2 linked regions of the Macaca fascicularis genome follow. The protein of the gene in region 1 interacts with the protein of each later gene in a biochemical or structural test. Links are inferred from orthologs where the notes say so. Each region holds a gene or a part of one and is shown on either strand. Other genes may lie near its edges.

The links.
Region 2: of the proteins of PLK1 (region 1) and CSN1S1, one has a biochemical effect on the other in vitro, tested with the Homo sapiens proteins (2 studies listed by BioGRID). The link is inferred for Macaca fascicularis from reciprocal best matches to the Homo sapiens genes PLK1 and CSN1S1.

The regions. Positions count from the first base shown.
Region 1 is NC_088394.1:22,756,804-22,764,000, reverse strand, and holds the end of PLK1 (serine/threonine-protein kinase PLK1), read right to left. Parts: intron 5,888-7,197; coding exon 5,732-5,887; intron 4,694-5,731; coding exon 4,616-4,693; intron 4,097-4,615; coding exon 3,942-4,096; intron 3,854-3,941; coding exon 3,671-3,853; intron 3,488-3,670; coding exon 3,284-3,487; 3' UTR 2,981-3,283; downstream 1-2,980. Other genes in the region: ERN2 (serine/threonine-protein kinase/endoribonuclease IRE2), read left to right, coding at 1,017-1,164, 1,258-1,385, 1,927-2,050, 2,135-2,202, 2,289-2,501. UniProt on the Homo sapiens protein: Serine/threonine-protein kinase that performs several important functions throughout M phase of the cell cycle, including the regulation of centrosome maturation and spindle assembly, the removal of cohesins from chromosome arms, the inactivation of anaphase-promoting complex/cyclosome (APC/C) inhibitors, and the regulation of mitotic exit and cytokinesis.
Region 2 is NC_088379.1:64,019,592-64,023,890, reverse strand, and holds the start of CSN1S1 (alpha-S1-casein), read left to right. Parts: upstream 1-1,499; 5' UTR 1,500-1,511; coding exon 1,512-1,562; intron 1,563-3,711; coding exon 3,712-3,744; intron 3,745-4,188; coding exon 4,189-4,209; intron 4,210-4,299. UniProt on the Homo sapiens protein: Important role in the capacity of milk to transport calcium phosphate. Casoxin D acts as opioid antagonist and has vasorelaxing activity mediated by bradykinin B1 receptors.

The sequences.
Region 1 (7,197 bases):
ATGAGCCACTGTGCTTGGCCCTATATATGTATTTTTGAGACAGGGTCTTGCTCTGTCATGGAGTGCAGTGATACCATCACAGCTCACTGCAGCCTTAAACTCCGGAGCTCAAGGGATCCTCTCACCTCAGCCTCCCAGGTTGCTGGGACTACAGGCACGCAACATGGCACCCAGTTAATTTTTGTATTTTTTTGTAGAGGCAGGGTCTCACCATGTTGCCCACGCTGGTCTTGAACTCCTGGCCTCAGGCAATCCTCCCACCTCGGCCTCCCAAAGTGCTGGGATTACAAGGTGTCAGCCACATACCTGGCCCAATATTTTAACGTTTGAGAAATTCCACATACAATTTGGATTTCTGGATTTTCTTTAAAATATCGGAATCACTTGAGGCCAAAAGTTCGAGATCAGCCTGGGTAACATAAGAAGACCCATCTCTACAAACAATTTTAAAATTGGTCGGGCATGGTGACACATGCCTGTAGTCCCAGCTACTCAGGCCAAAGACTGCTTGAGCCCAGGAGTTTGAGGTTACAGTGAGCTGTGGTTGTGCCACTGCACTCTAGCCTGGGCAACATGAGCAAGGCCCCAACTCAAAAAAAACAAAATCAGCTCTGCCACCCTGGAGAGTCCCCTGGTGACAATGGGTTGGAGCTAAGGACCAGGTGCCCCTGCAGACAGAACCCATGCCAGGTCACCACAGTCCTCCTGATTGCCTTATTGCCTCATGTCTGGCACCCACATATGTTACCTGCCTACACCCTGCAGGAATGAAGCTTGGAAACCTGAACTAGCTCAGCAGGGGCAAAGGTTTTGGATGAAAACCATGGGACCCCTATAGTGGTGTGTGTGTGTGTGGGCAGGGAGCATCTAGAGCCAAGGAGATGCTGCTCAGGAAGCTTCTTGAGTTCCAGTCTGAACCAAACCCCTGGCTGCTCTATCAGCCCATGGGAGAATTTAGCCAGGCCGACTTCCTGGAAGCAGAGATTTCCTTCTTACGCCCATCTCTCTTGTCCCAGACCAGCGCCGTGGACATCTTCTCTGCAGGCTGCGTGTTCTACTACGTGCTTTCTGGTGGCAGCCACCCCTTTGGAGACAGTCTTTATCGCCAGGCAAACATCCTCACAGGGGTTCCCTGTCTGGCTCACCTGGAGGAAGAGGTCCATGGTGAGGGAGCCCTGGGCTGGGCAGAGAAGGGAGGAAGGGCAAGACACTAGGCAGGCCTGAAGCAGACTTTTCTCTTCCTCTTCCATCCTCCAGACAAGGTGGTTGCCCGGGACCTGGTTGCAGCCATGTTGAGCCTGCTGCCACAGGCACGCCCCTCTGCCCCCCAGGTGCTGGCCCACCCCTTCTTTTGGAGCAGAGCCAAGCAACTCCAGTTCTTCCAGGTCAGAAGGAAAGCTTGGGAATGGTCCCCAAAAGTCCTAAGTTTGGGTCCTGGGCAATTAGAAATGGGATATTAGATTGGCTGAGGGAAAACAGGAAGAGCTACCTGGTCCTGGCAACCTGGCTCTTTCCCTAAACTGGGACCCAGCCTGGACTCCTAAACTCCACCATCTTGGCACTCTCCGGTCCACTCACTGCCAGCTTCGCCAGCCCCAGCTACCCTTTGTATGGGAATATAGCCCATTCCTTTCCACCTGAGTCGTCACTCATGCTGTGCCAGTAGCCCACTGCACTTGTGTGAACTTGAGCAAGAGACTTCGTGCCTCTGAACTGCAGTTTGCTCATCTGTAGAAAGGGGACAGCAGTACCAAGCTCATAGGTTGGTGGTAAATAACAGAGGCGTGGCATAGAGAAGCTTCACGCCCCCAGAGGCAATGATCCTTGTCAGTCACCCTAAATCACTCCCCTAAGTCAGACAACACACTCCTGGCTATGTGGCATCTGGCCCCGGTCACAAGGCTCAGGAGCTCTCTGGGGCCTCAGGATGTCAGTGACTGGCTGGAGAAGGAGTCTGAGCAGGAGCCCCTGATGAGGGCACTGGAGGCAGGAGGCTGCGCGGTGGTCCGGGACAACTGGCACGAGCACATCTCCATGCCACTGCAGACAGGTAGAGGCTACACTCAGGTGGGCCTGGGTGGTGGAGGGGAGCCCAGCAGGGACAGTTTCAGGACACTGAATTCCCTGTCCACAGACCTGAGAAAGTTCCGGTCCTATAAGGGGACATCAGTGCGAGACCTGCTCCGTGCTGTGAGGAACAAGGTATGTGTTGGGGCCTGGGTGGGCCTGGGTCTTGGGGAAGCACGGCTGCAGCTGAGCCAGGGTTCTCTTGCTCTACCTACCCCCAGAAGCACCACTACAGGGAGCTCCCAGTTGAGGTGCAACAGGCACTTGGCCAAGTCCCTGACGGCTTCGTCCAGTACTTCACAAACCGCTTCCCACAGCTGCTCCTCCACACGCACCGAGTCATGAGGAGTTGCGCCTCTGAGAGCCTCTTCCTGCCCTACTACCCACCAGACTCAGAGGCCAGGGGGTCGTGCCCTGGGGCTGCAGGGAGGTGAGGTGGGCCGGAGGCCACACAAATGGTCTCCATGCTGGCTAGCTGAAGAGCTGAGCCTGTGGCTGGCCTCAGAATCAGAATCAGAAAAGACTGCCAGGCTGGGTGCAGTGGCTCACGCCTATAATACCAGCATTTTGGGAGGCTGAGGTGAGAGGATCACTTGAGCTCAGGAATTCCAGACCAGCCTGGCCAACATGGCAAGACCCCACCTCTACAAAACATTTGAAAAATTAGCCAGGCATGGTGGCGCACGCCTGTAGTCCCAGCTGCTTGGGAGGCTAAGGTGGGAGAATCGCTTGAGCCCAGGAGTTCCAGGCTGCAGAGAGCCAGGATCATGCCACTGCACTCCAGTCTGGTCCACAGACACTGTCACCCCCTACCCCCCACAAGACTGGCAGAGGCTGGGCAGCCTGGGGCTGATGAAGCAGAGATGTTCCCTGGATCCCAGGCCCTGGCACCCCTCAGGAAATACAAGAAAAAGAAGATTCACATCTGTTTAATGTGTATAAAGCCAAGGAAAGGACAGTTCCGAACTCAATAGAAATATTCTGTACAATTCATATGGTGGGGTTGAGGGGGAGGGGACGAGGCTGTAGAACCCACACCCGAACATGTACAAAAATAACTTACACAGCAACCCCCACCTGCAAGGATGATGCAGCTCTGCCCAGCCACCGGGGCTGGGGGGCACACTGCAGACATGGCACCGCAGGAGCCAACCAGTATGGGCCCCAGATGCTGGTGGGAGTGAGGAGGGCACCAGTCCGGAGGGGAGGGCAGCTATTAGGAGGCCTTGAGGCGGTTGCTGGCCGAGCGTGAGCTCAGCAGCTTGTCCACCATAGTGCGGGCATAGCGGAGCCGGCTGGCCAGCTCCTTGCAGCAGCCGTACTCCTCCAGGAGACTCAGGCGGTACGTGCGGAAGTCCCGCTTCTCATCGATGTAGGTCACGGCTGCCATCAGTGGGCACAAGATGAGCTTGGTGTGATCCTGCAAGAGAAGAGGGGCAGGGATTGCTGATCCCAGAGGCCAGTGTATGTTAGGGAGTAGAGGGAAGACACAACAGGTTATAGGTACCTGAGCCATTCACTCCATACTCAACTCACATGGGCCACTGCCAAGCACGTGGAGCCTACCCCAGCTCTCTCCTGCCCCTGGTGACATCCAGCTCACCTGGAAGAAGTTGATCTGCACGCTGCCATTGCTGAGGTGCAGGATGATGGCACTGCGGGTGCGGAACCAGGTCCGCAGGTAGGGCAGCCGGGCGAGCTCATCACCTTCACGCGGCGTGATGTTGGCACCTGCCTTCAGCAAATGCTCACTCATGTAATTGCGGAAATATTTAAGGAGGGTGATCTGGATGAAAAGTAAGTGAGGGGTTCCAGAATTAGAGTCTCGCCCTCCAGCACAGGTCCCACTCCCGCAATAGCCGGACGGCACTTACCTTCTTCATCAAGGAGTTGGGATGGGAACTCACGGTGAGGTAGGACTCGGTGCCGTCACGCTCTATGTACTGCAGGCTGTCACCATCGTTGTAGAGGATGAGGCGTGTTGAGTCATTGAAGAGCACCCCCACGCTGTTATCACAGAGCTGATACCCTAGGGATCAGTGGAGAGAGGTCTCAGAAAGGGGGAATAGAAAGTGGGGAGTGGGGCTGGGTGCGGTGGCAGATGCCTGTGATTCCAGCACTTTGGGAGGCTGAGGGGGGAGGATTGTTTGAGCCTAGGAGTTTGAGACCAGTCTGGGCAATGTAATGAGACCTCATCTCTACAAACTATTTTAAAAATTAGCTGAGCGTGATGGTGCATGCCTGTAGTCCCAGCTACTTAGGAGGCTGAGCCTGCAGCCAGGCATAAGCCTGGAAGTTTGAGGCTGTAGTGAGTCATGACTGTGCCACTGCACTCCAGCCTGGGCGACAGAGTAGGACCCTGTCTCTGGGCAGTGGGGGAAAAAGGCTGGGGAGTCGGGGAGCACTGGGAGCTGGAATTGGGAGGCCTGGGATGGAGAAAGGAGGGCACTAAGAGTACCTGGGAGCTCAAAAAGGCCAGAGCCTGTAACAACTGAAAAGGTTACCTGGCTGTGCCTGAGTCACCCACCTGGTTCTGGAAGAAACCTACCAAGGCCGTACTTGTCCGAATAGTCCACCCACTTGCTGACCCAGAAGATGGGGATGCAGGCAGGATCCTCAGCCTCCTCTAAGACAGAAACAGACAGACAGTTGGTCAGGACCAGCCTCTTCTTCTCTGGTCCACACATGTGGCCCACACCAGGGAACAAGGAAGCCTGCTGGGCACACCACCTGGGCTCAGTTGAGAGGCCTAGGGCCCCAGAGAAGAGCAAAGCAGGGCCTCTGCTGCCAACAGGCTCAGACAAGCAGCAGCATAGACATCTCTACACAGAAAGTTTCAACACAGCGCACCAAGTTCCACTCACTCCTTCATTCCACTGACCCATTTACTGAAGGCCTACCGTGCCAGGCACTGTTGCAGGTACAGTGAGCAACAGACAAAACCCCAGCCTCCACAGAGCTTACACTGTGGTTGCAGGGGCAAAGACTAATCAAATTAAGTATGGGCAAAATACCAGTGACTTCTATCATGGTAAGAGTCAGAGACATCTAGTTTTCCAGTTTGGAGTAATTAGGAAACTGTGAAGACAGACGCCGGCTGCAAACACATGAAAATGTTATATTCAGTGCATGCAACAAACACCTTACTTTAAATCCAATCAAAGAAGAAGGACGTGTTGGACTATGTTGGGTGAGAAGTGTTATGGAAAACTATGCAGTGGGTAAGGGGATGCGAAGCACCAGCAGAGGGGCCAGGGAGATGCTCACGGAGGTGACACCGGAGCAGACACTTGAAGGAGGCCACAGTGTGAGCCATGTGGTGTCTGGAAGAAGTGCTTTCATGCCAGGGCCAGGGAGAAAGCCCTGAGGCTGCAGTACGTCTGGGTCTGTTATTTCAAGGGTCTTGAAGAAACAACAGGAACTTACTGAGCAAAAGAAACAGCGTGTGAAGGTGGCACATCGAGGTGCTAGAGTAAGAGACGGATCAGAAAAGAAGGCAGGAGCCACAGCAAGCAGGGCCTCGGATATCAGGAAATGGGGAAACCAATGGTCCTATGGAGACGGGGCCTGGACAAGTCACCAGTGCTTTGTTGGCCAAGGCTCCTCCTGCCTTCTCCAGATGCCCCAAGCAATCCTGCCCCGCCCAGGGCCCCGCAGTACCCACCTTGCCTGACCAGCCCGCGCTCCGAGGGCTTGGAGGCATTGACACTGTGCAGCTGCTGCAGCATGTCACTGAGGTGGCAGTCGACCACCTCACCTGTCTCTCGAACCACTGGTTCTTCCTTTTCCCGGGTACGCTCAGGCAGGGGGTTCTCCAAGCCTAGAAAGGTGACAAAAACAGGGGCGTTGGGAAGGGCATAGGACTCCCCTGCCACAGCTGAAACTCTTCCAAAAGAAAAATTCTCTTAGCTACCATTGCTTTGGGGAAACTGAGTCAGTGCCTGGTTATTAGAGCAGCAGCTGCCATGCTCAGGTGACAGGCACAAGTGCTCACTGTGAGGCAACAGATCTTCAGATGCTCTGGCCTCTGACCCAACGATGTGGCCCTGCAGGATACGACCTGCCACTCAGGCAAACAGCTTGAAGGCAACAGCAGCTCAGAGCTGCCCAGCTTCGAGCAAAGAATTAAAAGCATCTTCAGCATCCAGGCAGATGGAAGGGCTGAGTAGTTCAGTTCATCCACAGAATGGATTCAGTTGGCATTTAAATAAAAACACAAGAAATTTTTTTCCACCCCAAAATTTGCTTTATATGCTTATTTATAACCAAAAAAAGCTTGAAAAGATACATGAAATTTTAACGCTGATTATATCTGGGCAGTAGAAACACAGATTATTTTTGTTGTCTTTTTCCTTATTTATTTATTCCCCCACCAACATGTGGTAATTCTCCTTGCATAATATAAAATGTTTAAGTTTTCAATTAAAAAACAATGCCATGATAGGGACTTAGGTATGAAATAATAAGATATTAGGGATTTGCTTTAAACACTCCAGCAAGGCCAGGCCTAGTGGCTCACACCTGTAATCCCAACACTGAGAGGCCAAGGCAGGTAGACTGAGCTCAGGAGTTTGAGACCAGCCTGAGCAACATGGCAAAACCCTGTCTCTACTAAAAATACAGAAACTAGCTGGACATGCTGTCCCAGCTACTTGGGAAGCTGAGGTGGGAGAGTCACTTGAACGCAGGAGGTGGAGGCTGCTCTAAGTCATGATCTTGCCACTGCACTACAGCCTGGGCAAAAAAGCAAGACTGTCTCAAATAAATAATAAATAATAATAAATAGTAAATAATAATTTTTTTAAACTCCAGTAACAAAAAAGGCAGAGGCTGGAATAAATAAAAAAAGTCTGTCCAAATGTTGATAAGTAGTAAAAATAGATGAAACATGGGACTCATCATACAGTTCTCTCCACCTTTGGGTAACTGAAAATTTCCTTAAGTTTTTAAAATGCTATATGAAAAATTAAAACTGAAAGACAAAAAGTAGGAGGCTGAGGCAGGAGGATCACTTAAGCTCAAGAGTTCGAGACCAGTGTGCGCAACAGGGCAAGACCTCATCTCTACAAAAAATTTAAAAATTGGTCAGACGTGGCACGTGCCTACAGTCCCAATTACTTGGGAGGCTGA
Region 2 (4,299 bases), on another chromosome or scaffold:
AATTTCAGTAGAGACTTGGGGTAAGGTAATTTAAATTATTTTTACTTGATTCTATGAGAAGTTGTTATGCAAATAATTTATTTTTGTAATTACCATAACAAAAACCATTTCTAGCAGAATATTTCAAGGCCATTTTTGTTTCATGTCATTTGGGTAATAAAGTTAACTCTGCAATGTGTTTATCTATAATAGGTAATTAGATATAGATGACTACTTTGTACTGATTATTAAATTTAGATATTCAGAAAGACACAAATAGTAAATTTATTTGGGTTCAAAATATGCCTTGTTTATTAACACATTTAGATTCTAAAATTTGTAGACTGAAGCAATATATATAAATGTCAACATAGTATGTTGATTAATATGTGAACCAATAGCATGTGTGACCTGATTTTTTTTCTAATGATTTCTCTGGAAACCATTTTCCCGGTACATGTGAATGTCCATATTTCTGGGTGCTTGCAACTTAATGAAACTAAAGAAATCAAATATAAGACATGTCAATATTTTGATTCTATCCAATTCAATCATCTTCATGCATTTATGTCATGAATATTCCAATGTAGCAAAACATGAAGTTATGACTAGATTATTTTTAAAAATAATTGAAGGAGATGAATAGCTTTTACATAACATGCAGACAGGATTTTTCATGAAGACTCTAAAAGAAAAGAATGCTCTCAAATAGATTTAAAAGAGAAACTCATTTTCAAAAATTTTCAATCAAATTAAATTCCAGTTCTCAGTGGATTTTACTTTATTGCTCACTTTAGAAAATCTGATTTGTGATCTAGGAGGAAAAGTGTTTTCTTTTTTCAATTGTATTTCAAAATTAGCACTTCTCTGTTTCTCTAAGCCCATATTATTACATTAAGGACAAAATGTCATGTTTTAAAGAGTTAGTGAAGAAAAATGTTTGTACGAAATAAGTATTTCTGAATAATATAAGAACTATGACTAGAATGATAAACATTGATATTGAGTAGTAAGGTTTTTAAAATCTTAAGTTTATAAAAATTCACGTTACAGCTCCTCAAATCAGCCTATTTTATCATCATTTGCTCCTTTGTTGAAAAATCAAGGGTTTTTTTTTTTCAGGAAATAAATTTAATATAATATGCTATCTTCAAACCACACTGAAGGATGGTGTTAACAGTTTCTAATTCTCCATACACCTTTCTAATTTTCCAGTACCTTTAAACTAAGGAATGAGTCATCTCATTAACTTACCATTCTCTACATCACAATAACAATGTTTTTAGATATGGTGTAATCTCCTGTGGTTTCTAAGGAACCACTCTGATCACCTGGTTTATGGCTATCCTTTCAATTGGTAATTCAACACAAGTTTTATGTGTAATTTTATATTGATAATGGAAAACAAGTTGAGATGATTAATAAAGTGTAAAAGCAACTTTATGTAAGCCATGAAATAAATAAATAAATAAATAAAAATAATACTATCTAACTCTTTCTTTTTTTGTCCTCTTACATAGGCTTTTATCACCATGAAGCTTCTCATTCTCACTTGTCTTGTGGCTGTTGCTCTTGCCAGGCCTGTAAGTTCAGTAGAGAATTTAGAAAGATTTAGATTCTTGTTAGAAATGACCTAACACTTCATCAAATATGGGATACCCAGAGGAATAATCTTCAAGCACTGCATGATCTCTAGTTGGCCTCTGAAGGCTTGACAATAGAAATACAGTAATGCTTCCCATTTTCATCATTGTTATACAGTCCACTGAGAGCCATAACTCTGAATAAAATGTCTGGCTTGAATTATAAGCACCCCACAATAAAAAAGAGCTAAAAATTTAAAAGTAAGAAAAAGAATAAGGTAGTGCACAACATAATAAGTAGCATCAAACAATGTGATTAGGCCTGTTCCTTGAGTCTACTACAAAATTCTCATGTTTCTAAAAATGTAATAGTAATCCAACATTTCTTTACCAAATATAACACAAAGCCACATATTCCAATGTATCCTACTTTTGGAATCAAAATCAAACCCTCATCTGAGATGGCTTGTGTCAACTTTTCTTCCCCCCACAAGGGATAGAAACCTGGGGTGATTCAGCTGATTGAGTGATCAATTTATTGTGGTCACTGTAAACAATGTAAATAATGAAATTAGATAATGTATATTAAAATTACCTTTCTTCTCAAAAAGAGTGTTTATATCAATTAGATAGGGATGTGAACCAAAAAGTTTCTCTATTCTCTTGTTATGTGTAGTTAATGAATGAGAAGAATAAACACCTGACTGAAAAAAACATCAGTTTAGAGGGATGATTGGAGATATTTGGACACTGAAATTATCTCATACAGAAGCAAAATTTCTGAAATGCAGATATAGTCTGTTGTTTGCACTGACAGACTTGTTCTCTAAATTCCCCTTTGGAAACTGCAGAATCAATCATTGTCAACTTCTGAACCAATAGTCTTTGTTTATGCTATAATCTAAGCATCAATAGAAAGAAATCTCTGCTTGCAAGTTACCAAAACAATGATACATCTTCCTCAGGAATGAACCATCTGAGCAGTTCTTATCTTGTCATTTTACCAGGAAGTGGGGAAAAGCAGCCCAGAAAATAGATGCTACACTTTTATTCCAAAGGAAACAATAGAGTTATGTGTTTGTTTGTTTATGTCACTGTTTAACATGAAGTCTATGCAGATTGAGATCAATTGTCATATAATTTAAGTGATGATAAAAATAAAACCTAGACAATATACCCAAAGGATTATAAATCATGCTACACCCAAAGGATTGTAAATCATGCTGCTATAAAGACACATGCACATGTATGTTTATTGAGGCACTATTCACTATAGCAAAGACTTGGAACCAACCTAAATGTCCATCAATGATAGACTGGATTAAGAAAATGTGGCACATACACACCATGGAATACTATGCAGTCATAAAAATGGATGAGTTCATGTCCTTTGTAGGGACATGGATGAAGCTGGAAACCATCATTCTCAGCAAACTATGGCAAGGACAAAAAACCAAACACCGCATGTTCTCACTCATAGGTGGGAATTGAACAATAAGAACACTTGGACAGGGGAAGGGGAACATCACACACTGGGGCCTGTTGTGGGGTGGGGGCAGCGAGGAGGGATAGCGTTAGGAGATATACCTAATGTAAATGACGAGTTAATGGGTGCAGCACACCAGCATGGCACATGTATACATATGTGACGAACCTTCATGTAGTGCACATGTACCCTAGAACTTAAAGTATATAAAAATAAAAAATAAAAATAAAACCCAAACATTTGAATTAGGAAATTATAATTTGACCAACATTTTTTTATACTAGTTTAAAATCATCTTTAGAATTTTGGTGTAATATAAATAATTCAGAAAACTAAATAAATTGTTTATTATTCTAACCCAGAATTATAAATTCTAACCCAGAATTTTTCTTTTTAAAAGATGTTTTACATAGTTTTCTCAACTCCCAGCCACAATCTAAAGAAAGGAAATGATTATTTTCCTTTGATATTTGTCTATAAGATAATTATGATTTCTTTTTTTCCACTGTATTCCCAGAGAAACTTGGTCTCTGACAAATATTGTTATTAAAACACATACCTTTTGGAAATAGCAGTGTCAAAAATCATCATATGTGTATTATTATATTGTTACTGTCATTTTAGTTACTTTTTGTTTTACAATTCTTGCATTGTTTTTCACAGAAACTTCCTCTTAGATACCCAGAACTCCTTCAGGTAAATACTCTATTCTGCATTCCAAGAACTCACTCTAATTGTGAAGTGTATACTCCAAATGTGCTCTTCCTTTCTCTATGAAACAGCCTGTTTCACTTTTGCTGACGCACCATTTCTTTAGTTCAAGCACTGCCAGACGTAATTTGCTCTCACAAACTTAGAGGACGACACACAGACTTAGAAAAAAAAAATAATAATAAAGGTCTTATTTTTATCCAAGAGAAGTAGTTAATTAAACAGAATCTGTTGACGTGCTTATTTTAATGTATTCTTGCTTTTTTTCATTGTTACACATATTCAAGCCTGTGATTTACAGTTTGGTCTCATTAGAGATGTTGAATCTTGAATTAGTTACCTCTATCACAACTTTCTATGAGCACAACTAATCCTACATTCTGTACTGCAATTGGAATAATACCATTTTAAACTTACTATTTTTTACAGAATCCATCAGAGAGCAGTGAGGTAAGCTCTGTTTATGAGGAGTCAAGATTCTCTCTTCCTTTTGCTCTCTTTCAGTTTGCTATCATGCATGTTGATTGTCTTCTTCTTTAC